Linked DNA regions of Macaca fascicularis. The protein of the gene in region 2 interacts with the protein of the main gene of each other region in a pairwise test. Links are inferred from orthologs where the notes say so. Each region holds a gene or a part of one and is shown on either strand. Other genes may lie near its edges.

Region 1 (9,730 bases), on a different chromosome or scaffold from region 2:
AAGAGCTTCTGCACAGCAAAAGAAACTAACATCGGAACAAACCGCCAACCTACAGAACAGGAGAAAATTTTTATGATCTGACAAAGTGTCTAATATCCAGAATCTACAATAAACTCAAACAAATTTAGAAGAAAAAAAAAACAATCCCATTAAAAAGTGGGCAAAGGACATGAACAGACACTTCTCAAAAGAAGACATGCAGCCCACAAACATGAAAAAAAGCACATCATCACTGAACATCAGAGAAATGTAAATCAAAACCATAATGAGATACTATCTCATGCCAGTCAGAATGCTGATTATTAAAAAGTCAAGAAATAACAGGCCAGGCCTGGTGGCTCATGCCTGTAATCCTAGCACTTTGGGAGGCCAAGGTGGGTGAATCACTTGAGGTCAGGAGTTTGAAACTGCCCTAGCCAACATGGTGAAACCCCATTTCTACTAAACACACACACATACACACACACACACTATATATATATATATATATATATATATATATATATATATATATTTATTTATTTATTTTTCTGAGATGGAATCTTGCTCTGTCGCCCAAGCTAGAGTGCAGTGGCGCGATCTCGGCTCACCGCAAGCTCTGCCTCCCAGGTTCACGCCATTCTCCTGCCTCAGCCTCCTGAGTAGCTGGGACTACAGGTGCCCATCACCACGCCCGTCGAATTTTTTTTGTATTTTTAGTAGAGATGGGGTTTCACCGTGTTAGCCAGGATCGTCTCGATCTCCTGACCTCGTGATCCGCCCGCCTTGCCCTCCCAAAGTGCTGGGATTACAGGCGTGAGCCACCGTGCCCAGCCAATTTTTTGTATTTTTAGTAGAGATGGGATTTCACCATGTTGGCCAGGCTGGTCTTGAATTCCTGACCTTGTGATCCACTTGCCTCAGCCTCCCATAGTGCTAGGATTACAGGCGTGAGCCACCCCGCCTGGCCTAATTTTTTTGTATATTTAGTAGAGACGGGGTTTTGCTATGCTGGCCAGGCTGGTCTCGAACTCCTGGCCTCATGTGATCCACCTGCCTCGGCCTCCCAAAATGCTGGGATTACAGGCATGAGCTACCATGTTCTGCCTATATCCCACAAATTTTGGATCTAATATTTTCATTATGGCTTATTTCTTTTTGTGCTCTTTTGCCCATGCTGGAGTGCAGTGGCATGATCTTGGCTCATCACAACCTCCACCTCTCAGGCTCAAGTGATTCTCCCACCCCAGCCCTGAGTAGCCGGGACAACTGGGTGTGAGCCACCACACCCGGCTAATTTTTGTATTTTTATGCCCGGCTAATTTTTGTATTTGTATTAGAGACAGGGTTTCCCCTGTGGCCCACGCTGGTCTTGAACTCCTGGACTCAAGGAATCTGTCTGCCTCAGCCTCCTAAAGTGTTGGGATTACTGGCGTGAGCCACCACACCCGGCCTGCTTCTTTCTTCCTTCCTTCCTTCCTTTTTTTTTTTTTTTTTTTTTTTGAGACGGAGTCTTGCTCTGTTGCCAGTCTGGAGTGCAGTGGCACCATCTCAGCTCACTGCCATCTCTGCCTCCCGGGTTCAAGTGATTCTACTGTATCAGCCTCCTGAGCAGTTGGGATTACAGCGTGTGCCATCACACCCAGCTAATTTTTGTATTTTTAGTAGAGACAGGTTTTCACCATGTTGGCCAGGATGGTCTCAAAATCCTGACCTCATGATCCACCCACCTCGGCCTCCCAAAGTGCTGGGATTATAGGCATGAGTCACCGTGCCCACCTACTTATTTCTAAGTATTTAATTTCCATCATGGCTTATTCTTTCCGTGGTTATTTTAAGGCAATTTATTTATTTATTTAGAGATTGAATCTTGCTCTGTCACCCAGGCTGGAGTGCAGTGGTGTGATTTGGGCTCACTGCAACCTCTGCCTCCCAGGCTCAAGTGATCCTCCCACCTTACCCTCCTGAGTAGCTGGGACTACAGGCGTGCACCACCACTCTCGGCTAATTTTTATTTTTTATTTATTATTTATTTATTTTTATTTTTATTTTTATTTTTTTTGAGACGGAGTCTTGCTCTGTCGCCCAGGCTGGAGTGCAGTGGCCGGATCTCAGCTCACTGCAAGCTCCGCCTCCCGGGTTTACGCCATTCTCCTGCCTCAGCCTCCCGAGTAGCTGGGACTACAGGCGCCCGCCACCTCGCCCGGCTAGTTTTTTTGTATTTTTAGTAGAGACGGGGTTTCACCATGTTAGCCAGGATGGTCTCGATCTCCTGACCTTGTGATCCGCCCATCTCGGCCTCCCAAAGTGCTGGGATTACAGGCTTGAGCCACCGCGCCCGGCCTTAATTTTTTATTTTTGTAGAGATGATGTCTTACTAAGTTGCCCATTCTGGTCCTGAACTCCTGACCTCAAGTGATCCTCCAGCCACGGCCTCCCAAAGTGCTGGGATTACATGCATAAACCACTGTGCCCAGCCTGGATGACAGTTAAACAATTTTTTTTCTAAAAAAAAAATCTAGCTGTATGTTTGCTTATATTTTACATCGTGGTCAGGGAATATGTATTGAACAGTTCTTTCAAAATTGAATTGCATCAGTTGAGACATGCTTAACTTAGAATGTGACCAATTTTTATAAATGCTCTAAGCATGCTTAAGGAGAATTAGCAGTCATTAAGTTTTGAGAGCATGGTTCAATGCATGTTCATCAGGTCAAGTTTGTTAATTGTATTGTGTGTGATTTTTTTGTTGTCGTTGTTTATTATTATTATTTTTGAGACGGAGTCTCACTCTATTACCCAGGTTGGAGTGCAGTGGCACGATTTCGATTTCGGCTCACTGCAACCTCCGCCTCCCGGGTTCAGCGATTCTCCTGCCTCAGCCTCCCAAGTAGCTGGGATCACAGGCACATGTCACCACGCCCGGCTAATTTTTGTATTTTTAGTAGAAACGGGGTTTTACCATATTGGCCAGGCTGGTCTCGAACTCCTGACCTCGTGATCCGCCCGCCTCGGCTTCCCAAAGTGCTTGGATTACAGGCATGAGCCAATGTACCTGGCCACTTGTATTGTTTTCTTTAAAAAAAAAAAAAAAAAGTCTGGGCGCGGTGGCTCACGCCTGTAATCCCAGCACTTTGGGAGGCCGAGGCAGGCAGATCACGAAGTCAAGAGATGGAGACCATCCTGGCCAACATGGTGAAACCCCATCTCTACTAAGAAATACAAAAATTAGCCGCGCCTGTAGTCCCAGCTACTCGGGAGGCTGAGGCAGAAGAATCGCTTGAACGCGGGAAGCGGAAGTTGCAGTGAGCTGAGGTCGCACCACTGCACTCCAGCCTGGCAACAGAGCGAGACTCCGTCTCAAAAAAAAAAAAAAAAAAAAAAAAAAAAAAAAAAAAAAAAAGAGGCCATTGTAGCAATTCAGGGGAGAAATGAATCCAGGCGAGAGATGATGGGAGGTTTAGACCAGGGAAGACGGAGAGAAGTGGAGAGATTCCAGATGTATTTGTGAGACAAAACTGGTAATTTGGGGTAAGGGAGGTGAAGGAGACAGAGGGATCACGGAAGACCTCCTTGGTTTCTGGTTTAGGCTTCTTGACAGATGGCGGAGCTATGCAATTGAGAGAGGGAATCCTGGGAGAGATTATGAAATCTCTGTATTTTCCGCAAGAATGTTTGTTTGCTTCCCTTGCGAGTGTAAGAGGGAGCCGAGAACATTGAGGCTTGGGGCTAGGACTCAGCAGCTCCTCTGCCCTTGCCGAGAACTCTGTCTATATCTGTATTACAACACTTACCATAGTGTATTCACTTTACAAGGTATTGCACCCAGTGAACCATGACTAGCAGAGAGCAAGGGCAGAGTTTCTTCTCGGTGTCTCTAGGACTTTGCCCAGCAGCTGGCCCCGCCCCCTCTAGCGCTCTCCGCCTAGCTCCGCCCCCAGGAGATTTCCGGCTTCTCAGTACTTGCCTAGTCGTAAAGGGCTCCGGTCTGCAGCTAGAGCAACCGTTTCCTCCTCAGTTGGACCAGAGTGATTGATTAGTTTGTTGTCCAATCATCAGCCGAGTGGCCACATAATTACCAATTAGGCAGTAGCAGAGGCGGGTACCGAAGCACGGGGTCTGGGTGACTAGGTGTGACTAGGAAGTAAGAGCCGAGACTGCGAAGAACGCATCAAGTCCAGGCGGCGGTGGAAAGGTGACGTGGTATCTGAATTCCATGGGTTTATTCCTTTTCCCATTGCTGGGTTAAGAGCCCCTTCGCAGCTTGGGGCTAGGATCTTCATTTGCCTTTTTTCTTTTTTGGAGGAATTGGGCTGTGTCCATTTATTTAAGTATTTGAGGTTCTTGAGCAACTTCCTTCTTCGCCTCCAGGCGTATCCTTTTCTTAGCCTGAGGTGAGGTCCTCCCCAGGGAGAAAGTTGTTTGAGATCCTTTCTTACTCTGTGGGTGGTTAAAGGCCTCCGGACTCAGTTCCAGGAAAGGGGGATGAATGATGGGGGTGCCGAGACTCGCGGGCTATGCCCTCTTGCGAAGAGTTAGACGCTTCAACCTAGGTGGAGGGGCCCTGGGAACTAGATTCCTGTGTTAGGAACCAAGTAGGTATTGAGGGCGAAGAAACAAGTGGAAAGAGACATTTCTTTCTTTTTTTTTTTTTCGAGGCGGTGTCTCGCTCTGTTGCCCAGGCTAGAGTGCAGTGGCGCGATCTCAGCTCACTGTAACCTCCGCCTCCCAGGTTCAAGCGATTCTCCTGCCTCAGCCTCCCGAGTAACTGGGATTACAGGCGCCCGCCACCGCGCCCGGCTAATTTTTAGATTTTTAGTAGAGACGGGGTTTAACGATGTTGGCCAGGCTGGTGTCGAATTCCTGACCTCGTGATGCACCCGCCTTGGCCTCCCAAAGTGCTGGGATTACAAGCGTGAGCCACCGCGCCCAGCCAGAAAAGAGATGTGTCTTATGTGGAAGTCGTGGTAGTTCTCCAGGTGGGAGAGCCTACTGTGGGGTGGAAGACGTTAGGGCTGGGCTCCGGTGCTAAGTCCACTTCCTACCTCTAGACTGTCATCTTTTTTGCCTCATTTCTTTCTCCTCAGGCTGGAGGACACACCTAAACATGTGGAATCCCAATGCCGGTAGGTGTTTGGGGGTTCTGTACGACCCCTAACCCTTTTTCTGATGGACTCTGTAACAGGAAGTTTCTCTATCAGCTGCCCCATCCCCGACCCGCCACACCCGCAAAAGCAAAGTCCTTAGTCTACAGCTGACCAGTGCTTTTTTATTTTATTTTATTTATTTATTTTTTGAGACGGAGTCTCTGTCGCCCAGGCTGGAGTGCAGTGGCGCGATCTCGGCTCACTGCAACCTCCGCCTCCTGGGTTCAAGCGATTCTCCTGTTTCAGCCTCTGGAGTAGCTGAGATTACAGGCGTGCGCCATCACGCCCGACTACTTTTTGTATTTTTAGTAGAGACGGGGTTTCACCATGTTGGCCAGGCTGGTCTTGAACTCCTGGCCTCATGTGATCTGTCCACCTCGGCCTCCCAAACTGCTGGGATTACAGGCTTGAGCCACCACGCCCCACCGGCCTGACCAGTACTTTTGTCTTCCTCAGAGTTCACTGTCTCCCTCCTCTCTCCAGCCCTTACGGGGACATTCCCCTTTTATCCTCAACTCAGGTTTGTCTCCCCTACCTTCTATTCTCCTTTGTCACTTTTCCATTTCCCTTTAAGTATTGGGTGAGAAAGAATCTCTTTCTTTTTGTTGTTTGTTGTCGGAGACTCTGGGGAATACTAATGTTTATAATCTGCTTCTTCCCCCAGGGCAGCCAGGGCCAAATCCATATACCCCCAACATCGGGTGCCCTGGAGGTTCCAATCCTGCCCACCCACCACCTATTAACCCACTCTTTCCCTCAGGCCCCTGTCCTCCTCCCCCAGGAGCTCCCCAGGGCAATCCAGCTTTCCCCCCAGGTGGGCCCCCTCATCCTGTGCCACAGCCAGGGTATCCAGGATGCCAACCCTTGGGTCCCTACCCTCCTCCATACCCACCTCCTGCCCCTGGAATCCCTCCTGTGAATCCCTTGGCTCCTGGCATGGTCGGACCAGCAGTGATAGTGGACAAGAAGATGCAGAAGAAAATGAAGAAAGCTCATAAAAAGATGAACAAGCACCACAAGCACCACAAGCGTGGCAAGGTCAGTACCCTCTGGAGCCTGGCTAGGGAAGGGGTGCCCCCTCAGAGGGACTAGGTAGGCAGGGGTTGGGTGAGGGGGATTCACATTCTGTGGACGTGGGGGATGACGATTGTGTCACTCTGGTCGATGATTCTTCCTTTTTGTAAAAGATTGCTACTGGGAAGAATCTGATTATCTTGAAAAGAAACATCAGGCTTCTCCTATCTGGGGGGAGCTAGGGTGAGCCTTAAAATAGATTTTTAGAATCAAAAGCCAAATCTTTTCTGCCCTACTCTCTCCCAGAACTTTTGCTCCCCTCCCCGCAGGTGCATATTCTAGCAAGTTGGACCCCCTCACTGACATTATCAAAACATCAATTAAAGTCATTCCTTTGACAAAGCAAAGTCTTATAATAATTAACAGAATAATAATATGGCCCTAGTTCCTGGAGTTCTTTCTCTCTTTCAGTGTTCTTAGGGCCTTGTGTTAATTACATGGGCCCTTTGCCCTATCATCCAGCAGAAAAAGTGAGGACAAGAGCAGTCAGTGACTCAGCCTCTAACAGCCTAGGACTAAGGAGGTTTTATACTCAGCCCCAAGGCTGAGTATCTTTGTTTTAGAGGACTGTTAAAAATTAGTAAGGATCATGCCTGTAATCCCAGCACTTGGGAATTATTAGCTGGGTGTGGTGGCGCATGCCTGTAATCCCAGCTACTCAGGAGGCTGAGGCAGGCGAATTGCTTGAACCCGGGAGGCGGAGGTTGCAGTGAGCCCAGATCTCACCACTGCACTCCAGCCTCGATGACAGACAAGACTCCATCTCAAAAAAAAAAGTGCAAGGATAAAAGCAACTCTGAGGACAACTCTGGAAGGATTAAACCAATCTGCATCTTGATGAGGCCTCCATTTACATTTAACTGCCCAGTAAATTTATTTGCCTTGTGGATTCTAATTCCTGATTCTGGGTATTTGATAGAAGTCTGAAGAGAAGGCCAGGCACTGTGGTCCACACCTGTAATCCCAGCACTTTGGGAATCCAGGGCAGGCAGATCACGAGGTCAGGAGTTCGAAACCAGCCTAGCCAAATGGCGAAACATGTCTACTAAAGATACAAAAAATTATCTGGGCATGGTGCTGTGTGCCTGTAATCCCAGGTACTCCGGAGACTGAGGCGGGAGAATCTCTTTTTTTTTTTTTTTTGAGACGGAGTCTCGCTCTGTCCCCCACGCTGGAGTGCAGTGGTGCAATCTCGGCTCACTGCAAGCTCCGCCTCCAGAGTTCACGCCATTCTCCTGCCTCAGCACCCCCCACCAACTAGCTGGGACTACAGGCACCCGCCACAGCGCCTAATTTTTTTTTTTTTTGTTTTTTTTTTTTTTTTTTTGAGACGGAGTCTCGCTCTGTCGCCCAGGCTGGAGTGCAGTGGCCGGATCTCAGCTCACTGCAAGCTCCGCCTCCCGGATTTACGCCATTCTCCTGCCTCAGCCTCCCGAGTAGCTGGGACTACAGGCGCCCGCCAACTCACCCGGCTAGTTTTTTGTATTTTTTAGTAGAGATGGGGTTTCACCGTGTTAGCCAGGATGGTCTCGATCTCCTGACCTCGTGATCCACCCGTCTCGGCCTCCCAAAGTGCTGGGATTACAGGCTTGAGCCACCGCGCCAGGCTATTTTTTGTATTTTTAGTAGAGACGGGGTTTCACCCGTGGTCTCCATCTCCTGACCTTGTGATCCTCCCACCTCGGCCTCCCAAAGTGCTGGGATTATAGGCATGAGCCACCGCACCCAGCAGAGAATCTCTTAAACCCAGGAGGTGGAGGTTGCAGTGAGCTGAGATCATGCCATTGCACTCCAGCCTGGGCGACAGGGTGAGACTCCATCTGAAAAAAAAAAAAGAAGTCTGAAGAGAATTGAGATTTAGTGGGGAAGAAGGGGGAGAAATTACCCTGGAGAGACTGAAAAATGTTTTTATTTAATAACTGTAGCATTGCTGGGAGTATGTGCTTAAGGAACATTTAATAGAACTCCCAGCCTTTTCTTACATCTTCCCCACTTTTTCCTATTGTGCTTTGGAAAAAGTAGAGATACGTGCACACACAACTGCTGTTTCTACTGTCTTCTTAGAATCCAATTTCTTAAAATCATAGGACTTTGCATGCAGCTAATAAATAAGCATTTATAAGGTAACTGCTGTTTCCTGGCACCATACTATGCTTGGGCCTGTAATTTATTCCTTGCCTAGGCATCGATTCAGGTAAAGAAAGTTGGAAATTTGCTCCAAAGGCAATATGTTAAATTTTTAAAATTCTGTGTGATAATTTAGGATGGTTTAATCCATTCCTGTGTGCTCACTGCTGAAGGAAACCCTTGCTTTTGTTTAGGTACAGTCAGTTCAAGACTCCTGACCTTCTTAGGGAAGCAAGGGATACTTGGGTAGAGGGGTAGGGCACCAAAGAATGGCCCACGGAGTGATGAAAGGTCATTTGGATCTGATGCTTCTTTCCTCTTTCCCCTTTCCCCTTGCAGCATTCCTCCTCCTCTTCCTCCTCCTCTTCCAGCAGTGATTCTGACTGAATACAGGCCCTGGACCCTTCCCTCAAGTCTCACCAGTTCTGCTCTCCCATCAAGCTTCAGATGCCATGTTGTACTGGGGGAAAGTAGCCCTTGTGCTCCCCACCCCCTACCTCCACCTGAGCCTCACCCTGCTGTTGAGCCCTGAGTGGCTAGGGGAAATGGGAAGAGGATTGCCATGGCCTGGCCATCTTGTTGCTGCTTGGATAGATCATATAGCTAATGAATTAGGCAGGGGAGCTATTTTTTGAAAATGATGAACTAAATGTTGAAGACAAGTTTGAGATCTGTAAAATGTGATTTTTTTACTTCCGCTTATAATACTTGTGATTGGGGAGGTTTGCGGAAATTTAATTATGATGAAAAACCTCTATCTTTTTTGTAATGTTGCCATACTTGGGGAATTTAGTGGCAAATACATTCCCCAGCAGGCCTTTTGTTGGTTGCACTAACTGCAAAGTTGCTGGGAAGTAGAGTCCCTTTGGTCGATCAGCTTTGACCGCCATTTTGGAACCTTACCTTTCCTCCTTAGCCCAATATGCTGTCTCAGGTCCTATTCAAATAAAGATATTTCTCCTGGTCTCTGTTCACCTGTGCTATCACCTTGGCTGGGTATGGCACATTCTACAACTTTTGCTAATGTTCCACAGACCCTTTAAAGTGTATCAATTTTATAGAAGGGAACCAGAGCTTCACTGAGGAAGACACCATGTGATTCCTATGTTTTTTAAGTGGGAGAACTCTTCAAAATTGGGTCAGGCAGAGTGGCATGAATCTTTTTTGTCTTCCCTTGGGTCAATGGATATAGGCCTTTAGCTTATGTTTTTTTAACTCTGGCTGCCCATCAGCTATGAGAGAGTAATATGGGGCTTTACCCCAAATTTATTGAATAATACTTATTTTTTTTTAATTTTTTTCCTAAAACTTTTTATTTTTATTTATGTATTTATTTATTTTGAGATGGAGTTTCGCTGTTATTGCGCAGGTTGGAGCGCAGTGGCGCAATTGTAACCTCCACC
Region 2 (9,693 bases):
ATCTACCTGCCATGGGCCACCCAAAGTGCTGGGATTACAGACGTGAGCCACCACACCCAGCCTACTTTATAACTTATAAATGTTTAAAACTTTTTGACTCTTTTGTAATAACAACACACAAACACATAGCTGTACAAAAATACTTTTCTTTCTTTGTATCTTCATTCTATAAGCTGTTTTCTGTTAAAATTTATTTTTCTTTTTAAACTTTTTTGTTAAAAACTAAGACACACACACATTAGCCTAGGTCTACACAGGGTCAGGATCATCAAGATGTCACTAGGCAATAAAAATTTTTTTTTTTTTACCTCCATTATAATATTATGGGACAACCACAGAATTAATATATGGGATCTGTTATGTGGTGCATGACAAAATAGAGAAAGATCCAGTTACGGCCTGCATGGTTTGGTACTGTCCAACCTTTTTTTTTTTTTTTTTGAGACGGACTCTCGCTCTGTCACCAGGCTGGAGTGCAATAGTGCAATCCTGGCCCACTGCAACCTCTGTCTCCTGGGTTCAAGCAATTCTCCTGCCTAGCCTCCTGAGTAGCTGGGACTATAGGCGCGTGCCACCACACCCAGCTAATTTTTGTAGAGACGGGGTTTCACCATGTTGGCCAGGATGGTCTCGATCTCTTGACCTTGTGATCCACCCGCCTTGGCCTCCCAAAGTGCTGGGATTACAGGTGTGAGCCACCACACCCGGCCTTGTTCAACATTTTCATAAATGCCTTGTATGAGGACACAAATGTACATATTTATCAAACCTGCAGTTGACACAAAGCTGACAGGGATACCTAATAACGATGGATGGCTGAATCAGGATCCAAAACGTCTTGACAGGCTGCAACTCTGTGTCGAATCTAACAAGATGAAATTTAACAAGGACAAAGGTAAGTCTGACACTTAAGTCCAGAAAATCAGTACAAGGCAGGGGAGGTCTGACTTGATGACAATTCAAGTAGAAAACAAGGTTTTTTAGCCGACTGAAATCATAGCAAGGGTCAAAAACAAGGGAGTAAGAAAAAAGTGAGGTTTAACTTTATAAATATTATTTCTTTTCAGCTCAACATAAACTTTTAGATAGATTTGAAAAACACAACAGGCCACGTCAGGAGGTAGTACACATTACTGGAAATCTTCAAGCCAAGTTTGATAATGACTCTGGATGTTGAAGAGGAAGTAGTGGAATCTCATATAAGGTTTAATAGAAGAAATGACCCCAAATGTTGCCTAGATTCCATAGTTTACTTAATATGGGTATATGTAAGTACAGTTTACAAGGTAAAAATAATTTCATTCCAATTGATTTAGTAGACTGACTAGTTAAGTCTCTGAAAGAGCTACTCAATGAGGAGTTTGTATTTAGGCTTTTTTCCCCGTTTTCTTCTATTAGTCCAAAGATCTTTTTTTTTTTTTTTTTTTTTTTTAAGAACGATAAGGCCAGGCGCGGTGGCTCACGCCTGTAATCCCAGCACTTTGGGAGGCTGAAGCAGGCAGATTACCTGAGGTTAGGAGTTCGAGACCAGCCTGACCAACATGGAGAAACCCCGTCTCTACCAAAAATACAAAATTAGTCAGGCGGGTGGCACATGCCTGTAATCCCAGCTAAAGGAGGCTGAGGCAGGAGAATCACTTGAACCTGGGAGGTGGAGGTTGTGGTGAGCCAAGATTGTGCCACTGCACTCCAGCCTGGGCAACAACAGCGAAACTCCATCTCAAAAAAAAAAAAAAAAAAAATGATGATAGTACTTTCTCACTTCTCATTACTAACTTAAAAACTATTTTAAATTTGTTGTTATAGAAGTAATATATGCTCCTTGTAAATAAAATTAAACCTTTTTGATGAATATAAAATGAAAAGTAAAGGCTCCTCTCCTGCTTTCCCCCCAAATACATTCCCCAAACTCTCTTGGACTTCGCAAGCCTCTAAAGGCCCTCCTTTGCTGAATCCCTTGGAGACTTACACTCTGTGTAAGTCTGTCCGGAGCTGCACGCCCCGGCCATAGCGAATAATAATTAAAGATTAAACGCCTGAGCTATATTCATTTCCACCCCACACCTTCTCCCTAGATTTACCTTCTTCCCTGTATTAATACCGCCATTAAAAGATGGCGCTCTTCCTGCTTCTTCTTCATTCATTTTTCCCACACCCGCGAAAAGACTACCTGACTGCGCAGGCGCAACATGACGTCCGACCGGAGAAACCGAAGCCTATCTGGCCACACCTTCCGCAATGAGGTCATTTCCGCCTTAGCCCAACCCCTTCCCCTCCAAATGTATATAAGGCATTGCATTACCACCATTAAACGAGACTTGATCAGAGCACTGTCTTGTCTCCATTTCTCCTGTCTCTTGTTCCCCAAATTCCCACCCCCTCCTCCAGGGACTGCTCTGACTATCCCGTGGGCCGGGATACGTGGCGCCCAACGTGGGGCAGTATACCACAACGGTTTTTACAGTATGCCACATGTTTGCTTCCCAACAGGACCAAAAGCTCCTTAAAGGTAAGATTTGTCTTTTACAAATCATGTAACTCATGTACCAAATACAGACACATTGTAGATATAAAACATTTAACTTTTGATACTTCTGAAACAATAAATAGCAGTATTATTCAGATGCTAAGTCTTATTTTCACTTCATATTTAAAGTGGACATTAGTTTTGCCAATCCTGCATTCATTTACCTCCTCTGACCTATCTACCCTGGTTATCATTGGCTTATGGTCATCCATTCAGTTGTACTGAAAGGAGAATAAGATCTCTAAATCAATCAGATATTCACAATCCCACAGGCATAGTTTAACATTGGGCATGTAATCCAATCTAGACCAAAGAAGTACAATCAACTTGAAGCTGAGAGAATATAAAGGACCCTGGATACTGCAGCCATCTTGGGAGCAAAGAATAGAGCCTATTCAAATATGGAGCCAACAACCAAAGAGCAAGTGTGAGAGACAGACAGGGAGAAACGGAACCTGGTGACATCATTTAGCACTCCCTTTAAGTATTATCATCCCATTTTTGATCTCAGAATTGTCTGACTTAATGGTAGGCACAGTGGCTCATGCCTGTAATCCCGGCACTTTGGGCGGCTAAGGTGGGATCACTTGAGATAAGGAGTTCGAGACCAGCCTGACCAACATAGTGAAACCCCGTCTCTACTAAAAATACAAAAATTAGCAGGGCATAGTGGTGGGCACCTGTAGTTCCAGCTACTCGGGAGGCTGAGGCAGGATAATCATTTGAACCAGGGAGGCAGAGGTTGCAGTGAGCCAAGATCACACCACTGCATTCCAGCCTGGGCAACAGAGTGAGACTCGGTCTCAAAAAAAGAACCGTCTGACTTCAAGCCTTCTTTCTTCACCAAGCTTACTACTCTAACTCCCTAAGTCTGTCTGTACATTTGAGGAACTCTTCTTATCAGGCCTGAAAGTGTAGATGGAAAGGAAAAGAGAAAAAAAGGGATTATTTGAATTAAAAATATATAAAAAGATATAAATACACATATATATACTAGCAGACTTTGAGCTATATATGGACATGAAAATGGAGATGGCATGAAATATTTTATGAAAAAGAGGCAGATGTTTGGATGTGCAAAGGCTGTGCAAAAGCTTTATAAGAAAGGGCATCTGGGGTGACCCTTGCATTATTTGTCAGGTGTGAATCTCTTCTGCCACTCTCTCTTATTCATTAGGCGTAATGGCCATCTTTCAGTTCTTTAAAAAGTAAGTTTCAGCCTCAAAGCAATTATGCCACTATCCGGATGCTCTTTCTCCAAATCCTCTTATGACTGTTAATTTTTCACCCTTTAAATCTCTGTTCAAATTCCACCTCTTCAGAGATGCCTTTTCAGTCCAACCAACCTAAAGTGGGCCTTTCTCTCTTTCCATCACAACAGTTTGTTTCCTTCAAAGCTGTTATCACCAGCTGTATTTACATTTAGTAGTTTATCGACTGTTTCCATCACTAGAATGTAAGCTCTCTGAAAGCAAGGATTTTTGTCCTAAAAAACACCTCTTTTTCTTTATACCCAATGTCTGGCACAGAACGGTAGGTACTAGATAAATTAATATTTATTGAAAGAATGAGTACCAAAAAGTGATAAGATAGCTTGGGAGGGCAGTCGGCATTGTAGGCAGGATTCCTAGGGAAGGCGCTAGAATAAGGAAGTAGGAAAAGGCAGCAGGGATGGACGCTAAATAGGAAACTGAAGGTTTACGTCGGCCGGCATAAAGGTGTCGGACCGGGGCTTCAGGGCTCCCTTGTCGACGCGTGGGGTTGGCGGAGGGGCATAAATCACTGAGTGACCAACTGTGGGCGTTCCCTTCAGAGAAACCAAACGCGACAGTTGTCTTCAAACCCCGCTCTGTCCCGTGCCGCAGACTTTACACGGCTGTCTTCCGTGAAATCGCTAACCCACGGTCACCAGACTTATCGCTCGGGCCCGAGCCCCTCGGGAGCCAGAAGCGTGTTTGAGAAACAGACATTCTCCGCCGGTCCCAACAGGGGTCCGACACTAGCCCGTTGACGCGCGTTTCACCGCTCCCAGCCCGCCGGTGGGCCCGAACCGGATCCTTACTTACGCTTGCCTCCGAGCTATGAGCCGATGCATGGGAGTCGCCATCTTAGCGCGGTCAAAGCCGGCCGCGCAGGGTTTTGGGAAACTCCTCGGAAGGGCGGGGCTTCCAACCGGCAGGCCGTAGACGTAGGCGAGGCCAGACAGGCCTCTAGGGGTTCTGGGGCAGCCTCCGCGGCAGGATCTCAGTGCCGGCTCGGGAGGGGAGGGAGGGGAGGGAGGGGAGGGAGGGGAGGGAGGGGAGGGGAGGGAGGGGAGGGAGGGGAAGGAGGGGAAGGGAGGGGATGGAGGGGAGGGGAAGGGAGGGGATGGAGGGTCGGAAGAGGAGGGGAGGGGAGGGGCTGGTGGATCGGGAGGGGCCGGTGTCTCCAGTGTGGGTCTCGGGTTCTCTGGCGGAACCGGGTTTCAAAGGATGATTACAGGCAAGAACATTATCTGTGGAAAATGAGGACCACATTCTCGAACGAGGGATACACATACAAAGACAAAGAATGAAACTGTGGTGTTCAGAAACTTAGAAGTAGTCTGGAGAATAGAAAGGAATTAGTTGACCAGCAATTGAAAGAATGACTTTAGCAAGCCATAGAGTGCAAACATACACGTTATTTCTGTTTTGTATGTATTTCACAGGGTTGTTACAAGTACTAAATGGGACTGTGTAAAGCTGCTTTGTCAAGCAGAAAAGGACTATACAAATATTTTACAATATTTTAGCTGCACCTACATCTAATGTCAGCTCACGGAGCTATTATTCTCTTAAAACACGTTCTCTGAAATATATATAACTTTCTGAAGTGTATGTGTGTGTGTGTTTCCGGGTCATCCATATTTTTTCCTTTTTTTTTTTTTCCATTTGAGACAGAGTCTCGCTGTGTCGCCAGGCTGGAGTGCAGTGGCGCCACCTTGGCTCAGTGCAACCTCCAGGTCCCTGGTTCAAGAGATTCTCTTGCCTCAGCCTCCCGAGTAACTGGGATCACAGGCACACACCACTATGCCCAGCTAATTTTTGTGTTTTTACTAGGGACGAGGTTTCACCATGTTGGCCAGGATTTTCTCGATCTCCTGACCTCATAATCCGCCCGCCTCAGCCTCCTAAAGTGTTGGGGTTACAGGCTTGAGCCATCGCGCCCAGCCATATGTTTTCAATTAATAATTAACACTTAAAATGTTTTAGGAGCTGAGGACAGAGCATTTGAACAAATAAAATCCGTGTACACATGGAACTTTCTACACACCATGAATGAAAACTATTCCCATGGGATAAGTACTCTTAACGAAAAATATCTCAGAGTAAGGGATTAAAGAGTGATTAGGAGTTAGGGAGAGTGATGATGTGACCTTTGAGCACAACTTGTTCTTCAAAAATCTTGGGCTCTTACGTGTTGTGTTTTCTAGCTTGCTTTTTTCATTCATCAGTGTATTTATGAAAATGTTTCCCGGCCAGGCGCAGCGGCTCATGCCTGTAATCCCAGCACTTTTGGAGGCCGAGACGGGTGGATCACCTGAGGTTGGGAGTTCCAGACCAGCTTGACCAACATGGAGAAACCCCGTCTCTATTAAAAATACAAAGAAATTAGCCGGGCATGGTGTTGCATTCCTGTAATCCCAGCTACTCGGGAGGCTGAGGCAAGAGAATCACTTGAACTCGGGAGGCGGAGGTTGCAGTGAGCCGAGATCGCACCATTGCACTCCAGCCTGGGCAACAAGAGTGAAACTCCGTCTCAAAAAAAAAAAAAAAAAAAAAAAAAAAGAGGCCGGGCGCGGTGGCTCAACCCTGTAATCCCAGCACTTTGGGAGGCCGAGACGGGCGGATCACGAGGTCAGGAGATCGAGACCATCCTGGCTAACACAGTGAAACCCCGTCTCTACTAAAAAAATACAAAAAATTAGCCGGGCGTGGTGGCGGGCGCCTGTAGTCCCAGCTACTCGGGAGGCTGAGGCAGGAGAATGGAATGAACCCGGGAGGCAGAGCTTGCAGTGAGCAGAGATCACGCCACTGCACTGCAGCCTGGGCGACAGAGCGAGACTCCGCCTCAAAAAAAAAAAAAAGAAGAAGAAAAAGAAAACTAACTTGGATAACTAGGGGAGCAGGGTGACCACTCATTTTGTAAAGAAGAGTGGCTATGCAAGGGGATTTGAGAATGGCCATTCTGGGCCTCTGTGGGTAAGAAGCTCTGATTCTCCAAATGAAAACAGGATTGGCTCTTGAGGGCATGAGTAGTGCCTGAAACTCCCCAGAATGAGGTGAGAGCTGCTTTCCTCAGTTTATTTCCACTTTCCAAGATGACCTAAAAACAAAATGCTCAAAAGTTGTGTCATGTTTCCTTATCTTCAGATGAAGCTTCTTGGGTTCCTTAAAGTCCTTGGGTTTCGATGCAGCACTTTGCTGTAACATAGATCATAAGGCTGTGTGATTGTGAGTCCAGGATTTGCTGGCTCCTCTGGTAATTTAAACTAGTCTGCAGTAGAAGAGAAGGAAATTGACATACCAAGAGAAAGAGAGATGAGAGACAGAAAAAGACCTACCTAGACTTGATTTGCTTTTCCTTTGATTATTTGGGGTTATCTCAGCTTCCTCAGTATATTCCTTTTTTTTTTTTTTTTCTTTTTTTTTTTTTTGAGATGAAGTCTCACTCTGTCACTCAGGCTGGAGTGCAGCAGCATGATCTCGGCTCACTGCAACCTCTGCCTCCCGGGTTCAAACAATTTTCGTGCCCCAGCTTCCCAAGTAGCTGGGATTACAGGCATGTATCACCATGCCTGGCTAAATTTTTTGTATTTTTAGTAGAGATGGTGTTTCACCATGTTGGTCAGGCTGATCTCAAACTCCTGGCCTGAAATGATCTGCTCGTCTTGGCCTCCCAAAATGTTGGGATTACAGGTATGAGCCATCGCACCCAGCCTGTATTCCTTTTTTTATTAAGATAGTTCAAGTTAGGTTTCTGTTTCTTGACCCCAAATGACTCTTGACTTTATCACCAGAGGTAGGGTTTATCCTCATTTTACAAAAAAAGGGACTGAGACTCAGGCATGTTAAGAGATGTGTCCAAGGCCCATAGCCTTGAGCTTTTTCCATTACACATCTGTTCCTCCCCTTCAGCCAGTTTTGTTTGAGATAACATAGAACCAATTTCCTTATGTCAATTCAGATTCGATTGTAAGAAAAACAAAACAAAACTCTGGCTAAATAAACAATGAATTTATTGGAAGTTTATTGGCTAGCTCATAGTATATAAGTAATTGAACACCCAGGCCTTGCAAAGATCTTGAATGAGAAAAGTTCAGATCTCAGGACTGGGAACTTATGTGCTTCCTTTTTAGACAATTGCCAGCAAGCAGATCATCAGGTTCAACCCCCTGCAGTATCAGTGTACCTAATGTTGCCTCGGCTTGAGCCGAGGTCACACCACTGCACTCCAGCCTGGTTGACAGACTAAGACCCTATCTCAAAAAGAAAAATACTAAATCAAGATTAAGTTTACATGGTGTGTAATGCAAAATAAAACAGTAATTATAATTTGTTTTATAAATAAGAATGGCAAGATAGCCTGTCTCCACAAAAAGCAAATATAGCTTAAGAACACTTTAGGGCTAGTCATGGTGGTTCATCCCGGTAATCCCAGCAGTTTGGGAGGCTGAGGTGAGTGGATTGCTTGAGCCCAGGAATTTGAGACCAGCCTGGGCAAAATGGCAAAACTCTGTCTCTATTATATATATATATATATATGATAGAACTATATTATATATAATTTTAAAATTTGTTTTTATTTAATTTTATTTTTGAGACAGAGTCTTACTCTGTCACCCAGGCTAGAATGCAGTGGCGCGATCACAGCTCACTGCAACCTCCACTTCCCAGGTTCAAGCCATCCTTCCACCTCAGCCTCCCAAGTAGCTGAAACTACAGGCATGTGCCACCACACCCGGCTAGTTTGTGTGTGCGTGTGTGTGTGGGCGTGCCCAGGCTGCTCTTGAACTCCTGGGCTCAAGTAACCCACCAGTCTCAGCCTCCGAAAGTGCTAGGATCACATGCATATTAAAGCTTGCTTCAAATTTCCAAGTATTGCCAGCATTTGTAAATGTGTCCACTTTAGGTAATACAGTACACTTGTTCATTTATTATATATGGGGCCAGGATTATTTTTGTGACAAAATATTCATGTTCTATCTTTGCATTTAAAAAATACTGTTTCTGGCCAGGCGCGGTGGCTCACACCTGTAATACCAGCACTTTGGGAGACCAAGGCGGGCAGATCACCTGAGGCCGGGAGTTTGAGACCAGCCTGACCAATATGGAGAAACCCCATCTCTACTAAACACACAAAATTAGCTGGGCATGGTGGTGCATGCCTGTAATCCCAGCTACTCTGGAGGCTGAGGCAGGAAAATCGCTTGAACTCGGGAGGCAGAGGTTGTGGTAAGACGAGATCGTGCCACTACACTCCAGCCTAGGCAACAAGAGCAAAACTCCATCTCAAAATAAAAACAAAAAACTGTTTCTTTTCCATTTTCTCTGATGAAATTTTATTAGAGGTCATTTAAAAATCGATGTTCTGAAGGGCTATTTTTTAAAATTTTAATTTAATTTAATTTTGAGATGGAGTCTTGCTCAGTCGCCTAGGCTGGAGTGCAGTGGCGTGATCTCGGCTCACTGAAACCTCAGCCTCCCAGGTTCAACCGATTCTCCTGCCTCAGCCTCCTGAATAGCTAGGACTATTAGAGAGCAGTGGTGCATTCATAGCTCACTGCAGCCTCGACCTCCTGGGCTTAAGCCATCCTCCAGCCTCAGCCTCCTGAGTAGCTGGGATTACAGGCATGTGCCATCATGCTTGGCTAATTTAAAAAAATAAAATTGTGGGAGGATAGAGATAGGGTATTGCAGGTTCACGACCACACAGGCTAGTCTTAAACTTCTGGACTCAAGTGATTCTCCTGCCTCAGCCTCCCGATTAGCTAGGACTACAGGTGCTCACCACCAGATCCAGCTAAAGGGTTTTTCATCATTGATAAACCCTCAAAGTATATTTTAATCCCTGGCATTTTTATGTGTACATACCTACTGCACCTGCATCATGAATTTTATATGTGGTAGACTGATTCGTTAGGG
Region 3 (9,767 bases), on a different chromosome or scaffold from region 2:
GGTCTCGAACTCCTGACCTCATGATCCGCCCACCTTGGCCTCCCAAAGTTCTGGGATTACAGGCATGAGCAACCGCACCTGGCCCTGGTGCTTTATAGGCCAAAGTGAGACTTTTGGACTTGTGCAAAGCGCAATAGGGAACCTTGAGAGGCTTTTCAGCTGGGGTGAGTCATGACCAGAAGTCAGTTTTTGATAAGTTACCCCTCGTTCCATGCTCTTCTGGGGCTGCATCTTCTGTCAACAATCCCCAACTCGAATTTCCCAGTAATGTGGTTTCCCAGTAGAAGCTGGCATGCCTGGTTTGTGGCTAAGCTTTGCTTCTCTTTAAGGATGACCTGGAAGCTCTCAGTTTGCTCTTTGTCCATAGGGAATGTTATGGCCTGTCCTGAAGGATGTTGCAAGAGTTAAAGGAGATTCTGTCCAAGTGCACATGTGCATACTCACACCCACATCTACACAGTGCCCGATACAAGTCAGATGGGCAGACAGTTTTAAACTGTTCCTTGAGTTCTCTGTTCTTCTTCATTAGGGATCATGAAGGTGAGCACTGGAGAAAGGCAAGAGAGTTTTACAATATTTGAATAAATTGAAAGATAGGACCGGACGTGGTGGCCAGCACTTTGGGAGGCCGAGGTGGGTGGATCACTTGAGCCTAGGAGTTTGAGACCAGCCTGGACAACATGGCAAAAACCCGTCTCTACTAAAAATACAAAAATTAGCTGGGCATGGTGGTGCACACCTGTAGTCCCAGCTACTCAGGGGGCTGAGACAGGAGGATTGCTTGAGCCTGGGAGTTAAAGGCTGCAGTGAGCCATGATAGCACCATTGCACTGCAGCATGGGTGACAGAGTGAGACCTTCTCTCAAAAAAAATTTCAGGCCGGGCGCGGTGGCTCAAGCCTGTAATCCCAGCACTTTGGGAGGCCGAGATGGGCGGATCACGAGGTCAGGAGATCAAGACCATCCTGGCTAACACGGTGAAACCCCGTCTCTACTAAAAAATACAAAAATCTAGCCGGGCGAGGTGGCGGGTGCCTGTAGTCCCAGCTACTCGGGAGGCTGAGGCAGGAGAATGGCGTAAACCCGGGAGGCGGAGCTTGCAGTGAGCTGAGATCCGGCCACTGCACTCCAGCCTGGGCGACAGAGCAAGACTCCGCCTCAAAAAAAAAAAAAAAAAAAAAAAATTTTCAAAAAGGCTGGGCGTGGTGGCTCACACCTGTAATCCCAGCACTTTGGGAGGCCGAGGCGGGTGGATCATGAGGTCAGGAGTTCAAGACCAGCCTGACCAACATGGTGAGACCCCCGTCTCTACTAAAAATACAAAAATTAGCTAGGTGTGGTAGTGCACGCCTGTAATCCCAGCTACTGAGGAGGCTGAGGCAGGAGAATCGCTTGCACCCAGGAAGCAGAGGTTGCAGTGAGCCGAGATTGCACCACTGCACTCCAGCCTGGGTGACAGAGCGAGACTCTTGTCTCAAAAAAATCATTAACAATAGCTAACATTTAGAAAACATTTACTATGTCCTAGGTGTTGAGGTTGTGAGGCAGCTGTTAATCTTTTTTTTTTTTTTTTTTTTTTTTTTTTTTGAGATAGAGTCTTGCTCTCTCGCCCAGGCTGGAGTGCAGTGGCGCGATCTCGGCTCACTGCAAGCTCCGCCTCCCGGGTTCATGCTATTTTCCTGCCTCAGCCTCCTGAGTAGCTGGGACTGCAGCCGCCCACCACTACGCCTGGCTAAGTTTTCTGTATTTTTAGTAGAGACAGGGTTTCACCGTGTTAGCCAGGGTGGTCTTGATCTCCTGACCTCTCCACCCGACTCGGCCTCCCAAAGTGCTGGGATTACAGGTGTGAGCCACTGTGCCAGGCCGGAGGAAGCTGTTACTCTTATCCTAATTTTACAGACCAAGACCCGAAGGCCCAGAGGGGATAGGTAAGTTGCCAAGGTCACAGGGCTGGTTGTTGAACCTGGGTGGTCCCTCCTCAAAGCCAGTCCTCTTAATGGTAGGATGCATAGAGACACATAAACCAGTGTGGATATCAACTGATACTCTGAAAAAAGAAGACCTCATAAGGGCATGAGAGGGAATCAAGCCTTTTTATATGTCAGAACCTATTCCAAAGAACCAATATTTAGATTCACATGGTATTTGCTCAAACTTAGGGCTACAGAAGGAAATGGAGAATTCAGAAATATATTAATCAAAATCAAAAGTCTAGCGTAAAAGTAGGTTTTACTAAACAAAGGAATTTTTTATTTTTTATTATTTTTTTTGAGACAGAGTTTCGCTTTGTAGCCCAGGCTAGAGGGCAGTGGCGCGATCTCCGCTCAGTGTGAGCTCCATCTCCAAGGTTCACACCATTCTCCTGCCTCAGCCTCCCCAGTAACTGGGACTACAGGTGCCTGCCACCACGCCTGGCTAATTTTTTTGTGTGTTTTTAGTAGAGACGGAGTTTCACTGTGTTAGCCAGGATGGTCTCGATCTCCTGACCTCGTGATCCTCCCACCTCGGCCTCCCAAAGTGCTGGGATTACAGTCGTGAGCCACCGTGCCCAGTCTTTTTTTAAAATTATTTTTATTTTTATTTTTTGAGATGGAGTCTTGCTCTGTCACTCAGGTTGGAGTGCAGTAGCACAATCACAGCTCATTGCAGCCTAAAACTCCTGGCCTAAAGTGATCCTCTTGCCTCAACCTCCCAAAATGCTAGGACTACAGGTGTAAGTCCCCACGTCTGGTGAATAATTATTTAAGAAATGGTAACTGCAGAATTAATAACAACCGATGACAATGGTAGTGAGTTATGTCCATATTTTACTCCAAATAAATAAACCAAAATAAAATCAGGATAATCATCAGAGAATGAAATATGAAATGAAATTGTACAAAACTAGCAGAAAAAAGACTATCAGATGGGCAGCAGAAAGCTCACTTTGTCAGAATTGAAGCAATTAAAAAAACCACAAAGGATTCACTAGAATGACACATTGAACATTAGAATAAAACAAGAAAGAACAGGCTAGAAAATATTTGCATCAACGTCGACAAAGGAGTAATATCTATAATACAAAAAAAGCTTGTTTAAAGTTAGAAGAGGTTCAAGTCCCCAGAAGATAGATATGAACAGAACATTCACAGAAGAGGGAATGCAGATAATAAATGCATGGAAAAAAAATTCATGTTTGGTCACCTAAGAAATGCCAAGTAACCTTGAACTAGCAATAGACTATTAAAGTAGGGGGGAAATGGCACTCAATGTTTAAAAGTGTGTTAAACTCCTTACACTTGTTTTTTGGAGGCGGTAGAATAATTGGGGCAGCTCTTGGTGAAAACATGACGCTGTAAGCCAAGACTACTTGGCCATTCACAGCCTTCTACCTGGGAGCCTTTCCACTCCCAGGTATTTGTCCCAAGTGCAAAATTCAAGGATACGTCAAACAACTGTGAAGAACCAAAAACATTAGGGGGCTGAGTGAATAGTTCAGGACACCTGCACACCTTAAAAATGAATCATGTGAACAAAATAAAAATGGTAGTGAAAGTAGTAACAAAAACAGTGTTGTTGCAACTATATACAGTGTATATATATGTTTCATGTCGTGAAAAGTTTCATTGTAATAATATGGATTACTGTATTCTTTTTAGATTGTTCTCTTTCTGGTTGTCATATTGTTTTTTCAGCGGTGCTAAAAAAAATCTGGATTCAAATCCAGCCAGCGGCGTGACTTTGAGTAAGTTCCTGAAGTGGGATATTTCCCAGAGTGGTTGAGGGAGGTGGCTTGAGCTTGCGCCTGGCACACGGAGGGAACCCTAGACTTTCTTCTTGCGGTGGGGGCGCCTCTGGGCCCTGTCCGAGAACTCCTTTCAGGGCCTGGGAGTCTGATCGGGAGCTCCCGGGTCTCGGTGGCGCGGGAACTCCCTCCTGGAGGGAACTTTCCGGAGCAGGTGGGCGGGTGTATGTCCCACGGGCACCTGCGCTCAGGAGAAGGGGGCGAGTTCAGGCAACGTAACCGCTCACGGTCACCTCGGGTTGCGGGGCCAGCTCGAAGCCGCCTTCGAGGTTCTGATTCTTCCCGGGGCTCGGGGCTCTGGGCTCTTTCGTCCCAATTCTTAGCTGTCCTGTGCCCCCTCGCTGCAGGAAGACTCAAGATTTACAGCGCGCCTCCTGCGAAAGCCTAGAGACACCGGGGGCGCCGAAGGGCCCGCGCCGGACTTCGCAGACAGGGGGCACTTGGGTGTCCCTTCAGGTCTCAGAGGGCGCGCCCGATCCCCGACGCCGGGCAGGCAAACGGGCGCAGCCCCCACGGCGGCGGCACGCGCGCATCTGGGATCCGGCCGCTTCTCTGCTCATGCCATCTTGTCCGAACCGGTCACGTGCGGGCGACAGCGGCGCTCTTCGCCGGGCCAGTACGCCAGGTCCGACCCGTGAACCCCTCTGGGATCCCCACCGCTCCGTCCACAACCCGAGGTGAGGCGCGGGGGCCCTTCCCTCCTGGGTCGGGGTCGGGCCAAGGCGGGCACTGGGTTCCCGGGGAAAGGTCTCCTCTTCCGGGCCATTCAGCTCGGGGCCACGGCGCCGTCGGGGGCCCGAGGCGCCGCCGCGTGTCCTGCGCCACGGCCTCGGAGCAGTCCGCGCCGAGTTGCTGGCTGGGGGCGTGGGTGGCCCGCGGCGCCGGACCCCCGGCACACCAGCCTGCGGAGTCCTTGCCTCCCGCGTGGCCCCAGTCGGGAGGGATGGCGCTGGGGCGGGAGCGGGGCAGCCGGGCCCGGGGGCTCCACGGGCGCGGCGCGAGGGGCGCAGGCTGCCTGGAGGACCGCGGAGCTGGGGGTGGGGGGGCGCGGGCGCATGCGCCCTGCGTCCGTGCCATATTGGAATGAGTCGGAGCGCGGAGCGCCGCCGCCGCCTCCGCCGGAGCGCGGGTGGAGGGGGGCGGGGAGAGCTGCCGGCCGCCCCGCTCCGCCGAACCCAGCAGGAAGGAGGGCGCGAGCGGGCGAGCGCGGGCAGCGCGGGAGGAAAAAGCGCCCGCGCGGAGGAGCGAAAAGAAGGAAAGAAAGAAAGAAAACGAGCGCGAGAGGGGGAAAAGCGAGCGATCGAGCGAGCGCGCGCGCGAAAACTCCCGGCAGGTAAAAAAGCGGGGCCGCCGGCTGGGCCTTCCCGCGCGGCGGCCTGGAGGGGCGGCGGCGGCGCCGGGGCAGGGGACCGCACGGCGTCCCCTTCGAAGCGGCCGCGCAACTTTGCCAACGGGAAACCGCCGGGCGCCGGCGGGCGCGCGGGCTGAGGCGCCAACGGGCGGCGGCGGCGGCGGCACGTTGGGGGCGGGGGCGGGGCGGGGGGAGCGCGGCGCCCGCGCGCGGCCCCGCGGTCCCGCGCGCCGGCCGGCCGGCAGCAGGGGCGCGCCTGGGCGCCTCGCCGCGGCGGAGAGCGGCGGCAGCCGTCAGACCCTGGCAGGCAGCGCGGCGCGCGTCAGCCCGCAGGAGGCGTGAAAGGAAAGTGGCCGGGCGGCGGCAGTGGCGGGCGCCCAAGTTCCCCGGCGCGCCGGGCCCGCCGCGCGCCCCTCCCCGCGCGCGCCCCGCGCTCCGCCCGCCGAGCCCCCGCGGACCCGCCCCCCGGGCTCGCTCCGGGCGGGGCGCGAACCCGCAGTTGGGGCCGGGCGCGCGGCCGGTCGGAACTTCGGAGGGCCCGGGCGGTCGCCGCGCGGTGGCGGAGCGTCTAGCGGCCGCCGCAACCGGTGGCTCCGGGCTGCCGTTGTGAAGTGAGCGGGCCTCTCCCGTGCCGCGGCCCGCCGGGCACCGCCGCCGGACCCTGCGCCGACCCGGCAGCGCCCCGACCTGCCGCTCGGGAGGTCCGCGACCGTTTCGATTTCTGTTCCTAAAGTCCGATTTTGGACGCTGTAAAGGAGGCTGTGGAGGGGCGAGTGGCGTCCTGGGAAGCAAGGCCTGCTCTGTGCTTAGCAGAAACGCCTTGTGCGAACAGAAATAAATTCCCGCGGAAAGGATGTACGTTATGTTAAGTTTTTCACAAGATGTCAGCTGTTCCCGTGGGGTCTAAAACTAAGCCGGCAGGCACAGGTCACCCCCAGAGCTTATGCTCGAGGAGTGGTGGACGCTCGGGTCAGGTGGGGGTGTTCCCAGCGGGTGGCCCGAAGCAGCACTGGTTGATGGTCCCAATTGGTGTTTTTGAGTCCTGTTAGCACTGATCTGTGTTTGAGAACCAAGTAACCATCAAAGAGATTTGAAAGGAAGTGAGATGTATTTTGTTAATCCCCGCGTGTGTCTTCTCTTGAACCACATTTTCTAAGATGTCATACTTAATTTTATTGCATCTGGATAAAGTGCCTGAACATATAATCATTAATTTGTCAACTGGCTTGAAAGGATGAAGGAAGATGAATGTGCCTTTATGTGTACACTTTGAGGCCTGTTGACTAGCGTTTTGAGGCATTCGTTGAATTAGGCCATAGGTAGATTCGGAGTTAAGATTTGTTTGCGATGTCAGGAAAGTAACGGCCTGGTAGAAACGGCCAGAGATCAGGAAACAGTTCTGTTATTACCGTTGTAATTGACTAACTGCCTTATCTTGGGCACTTTTCTTACCCGTTGTAGCTTTGATTTTCCTTATTTGCAACATTAAGATAAACAGATCATTTTTGAGGGTGCTTTCAGTTCGAAAATTCGGTGGCTTTTTAAACTGAAAGATTCTTAGAAATCACAGTGTATATTTTGATAGGTTCTACATAAAAGTGCTCGCAATGTGTGTCTTTATTAAAATTCATTTGGAAAAAATATCTTGGTAGCTAGATCTAGAATGGTTTTATATGATTGTTTGAATAGATTTTTAACAATGTATTTCAATGTGCTTAAAAATTATATGTATTTTTTATTGAGGTATATATAACCTACAGAAAGATCTTAAGGGTACAATTCAATGACTTTTTATGCATGTATACACCCTGATAACCACACTCAGATCAAGATATGGAACATTTTCAGGCCCTGTATCTTTTCCATTCAGTAAACACATTCCCCCTCCCCACGGCAACCACGATTCTGACTTCTGTCACCACAGATGAGATTTGCCTCAAAACAAGACCCTTTTGAGGGTTAAAGGGGCAATGCTAACAAACTGAGGATAGCTTGTATGTAAACTTGGAGTTATGGCCGTGTAAGCCATGACCCTTTGCTTTTATAATGATTGTTAGGGTTTTCGTAACCCAGAATAACTTAAAATTCTCTCCTAAGGGACTTCTTAGAAGATCACTTTTCAGTGGGGGCAATACTTTGCAGGTTACGATTTGTAGTTCTTGGGAGTCCTTAGGTTCACAGACAATGGTATTAATCTATTACTTCCCATTTTTGGAATATAGGTACTATATATTTGTAGACAATAGATTGGAATAATGAATCATGAATTTTCCCAACAAGTTAGAGTTTAAGGTGTCAGTAGATGAATCAGGGTCTTAATGCCTAGAATTTGCTGAGAAAATTGAATGAAAATTGGTTTTTTAAAGTTAAGTGAATTAAGAATGTGTAAGCTTTAACAAGGTTTTCAATGACAGCAGTTAACTTGACTTATATATACAGGATAGTCAGCTGGTTTATCAAATCATTTAAAGTCCAACAATGAAAGCAAAAACAAAAGGTTAACTAAAAATTGTGTCAGGTGTGATTTAAAGAAACCAGCGTGACTAAGATGCCTGTGTAAATTAACCCTCTGTCTAGGAAGGTGGACTTTTTTTTTTTTTTTGAGACGGAGTCTTGCTCTGTCGCCCAGGCTGGAGTGCAGTGGCCGGATCTCGGCTCACTGCAAGCTCCGCCTCCCGGGTTCACGCCATTCTCCTGCCTCAGCCTCCCGAGTAGCTGGGACTACAGGCGCCCGCCACCTCGCCCGGCTAGTTTTTTGTATTTTTTAGTAGAGACGGGGTTTCACCGTGTTAGCCAGGATGGTCTTGATCTCCTGACCTCGTGATCCGCCCGTCTCGGCCTCCCAAAGTGCTGGGATTACAGGCTTGAGCCACCGCGCCCGGCCCTTTTTTTTTTTTTTTTGAGACGGAGTCTGGCTCTGTCGCCCAGGCTGGAGTGCAGTGGCGCTATGTCGGCTCACTGCAAGCTCTGCCTCCTGGGTTCCCGCCATTCTCCTGCCTCAGCCTCCCGAGTAGCTGGGACTACAGGCGCCCGCCACCGCGCCCGGCTAGTTTTTTGTATTTTTGGTAGAGACGGGGTTTCACCGTGGTCTCGATCTCCTGACTTTGTGATCCGCCCGCCTCGGCCTCCCAAAGTGCTGGGATTACAGGCGTGAGCCACCGCCCCCGGCCGGAAGGCGGACTTTTAAATATTCTCCACTGAAGCACATGCTGCAACAATTTGCATTTCCTTCACCAGTGTCTTCTTGTGCCTTTTCTTGTTTCTACGGTAAAGGAGATGGGTTAGATGTTGTAAGTGAATTCTTATTTTGTTAGTTCCTAACAACGGCTTGTGTTTTTACTGCAAAGATATCCCTGTGATAAAAGTTGGGAATGTTCTAAGGCCTGTGGTGTAGGGATCCATGGGGAATAGTCCACAAAGTTAAAAGGTTTTCTTTTGTGAAATGATTTCACTGAACAATTCTGTCTTTTTGTGTTAAGTTAGCCAGCCAACTGACTGACCAGCCACTAAGCTGGATTTGGTCACTCCACCCAAGATTCCCTCATTAGCCAAGAGAGTAATTGATGACTTAGCTATTACTGATCCATTGTTTCTTTTTGTGTCTCTTTTTAAATTTCTTGGCTTTTATGTGATCAGATTGTTTAATTTAAAATCTATTAAATTTTTAAGAGAAGCAACTAAAGAGATATACAATGAGAAACAAAATACACAATGAAAGGGAATTTCCTTTTTTTGCTATGTTTTGTTGTAAACTCAGATTTTTCCTTTTAAAAATGATTGCTGGCTAGGCACAGTGTCTCACGCCTATAATCCCAGCACTTTGAGAGGCTAGGCAAGAGGATTGCTTGAGACCAGGAGTTGGAGACCAGCCTGGATGAAAGAAAAGGGAGACCCTGTGTCTACAAAAAATAAAAAAAATTAGTCAGCCATGGTGGCGGGCGCCTATAATCCCAGCTCCTCAGGAGGCTGAGGTGGGAGGATCCCTTGAGCCCAGGAGTTTGAGGTTGCAGTGAGCTATGATTGCACTGCTACACTCCAGCCTGGGTAACAGAGTGAGACTGTCTCAAAAAACAAACAAACCAACACAATATGATTTGCCTATCCATAACCTTACTGTTTCTGTAGTGTACTTTTGCTTTCACAGTGATAACTAGACTGGGTTTAGCTGTGGAATGGTGGTGTAGCAGCAAGTCTGTAGAAAAGATGAACTATGCAAAACTTCATTGACTTTTTAGTTTGACTTCATGTTATGTTCACATTAAGTTAATACAGTCCAAAAACCAGAAGGCTATTATTTAGACAGACATTTTACATCTTTAATATTTTTAATGTTACATTTTTTTCTTGTAATTTTCCAAAATTTTGCTTTCTCGATTATTTGGCTGATAACCAATATTTTGGAATAATTACATGAAAATGAAAGAACTTGTAATGAGTAAATGATACAACTTCCTTATGGCAGAGTATTTTTCTTTTAGTATATAGCATTTATTACCTAACTGGGGTATTTTGTATTTGAAAATAATATTTCTGTATATACATAGTTATTAAATGGGCTAAAAGTGTCTGGGGATTTTGGTTACTTGGGAGATTTTGAACCATTAGAGTTTGGGGAGTGGAATTTTGATAGGAG

What was found.
Region 1: the proteins of ZCCHC10 (region 2) and PRR13 interact in binary tests that used the Homo sapiens proteins (3 or more experiments, as listed by UniProt). The two-hybrid records come from large-scale screens. The link is inferred for Macaca fascicularis from reciprocal best matches to the Homo sapiens genes ZCCHC10 and PRR13.
Region 3: the proteins of ZCCHC10 (region 2) and SFMBT1 interact in binary tests that used the Homo sapiens proteins (3 or more experiments, as listed by UniProt). The two-hybrid records come from large-scale screens. The link is inferred for Macaca fascicularis from reciprocal best matches to the Homo sapiens genes ZCCHC10 and SFMBT1.

The regions. Positions count from the first base shown.
Region 1 is NC_088385.1:60,243,503-60,253,232, forward strand, and holds PRR13 (proline-rich protein 13), read left to right. Parts: upstream 1-4,132; 5' UTR 4,133-4,174; intron 4,175-4,284; 5' UTR 4,285-4,373; intron 4,374-5,066; 5' UTR 5,067-5,086; coding exon 5,087-5,105; intron 5,106-5,790; coding exon 5,791-6,164; intron 6,165-8,666; coding exon 8,667-8,714; 3' UTR 8,715-9,291; downstream 9,292-9,730. UniProt on the Homo sapiens protein: Negatively regulates TSP1 expression at the level of transcription. This down-regulation was shown to reduce taxane-induced apoptosis.
Region 2 is NC_088380.1:139,541,439-139,551,131, forward strand, and holds the start of ZCCHC10 (zinc finger CCHC domain-containing protein 10), read right to left. Parts: upstream 4,647-9,693; 5' UTR 4,635-4,646; coding exon 4,594-4,634; exon of another isoform or gene 4,590-4,593; intron 866-4,589; coding exon 770-865; intron 1-769.
Region 3 is NC_088376.1:116,169,606-116,179,372, reverse strand, and holds the start of SFMBT1 (scm-like with four MBT domains protein 1), read left to right. Parts: upstream 1-4,169; 5' UTR 4,170-4,460; intron 4,461-4,858; exon of another isoform or gene 4,859-5,116; intron 5,117-5,631; exon of another isoform or gene 5,632-5,989; intron 5,990-9,767. UniProt on the Homo sapiens protein: Histone-binding protein, which is part of various corepressor complexes. Mediates the recruitment of corepressor complexes to target genes, followed by chromatin compaction and repression of transcription.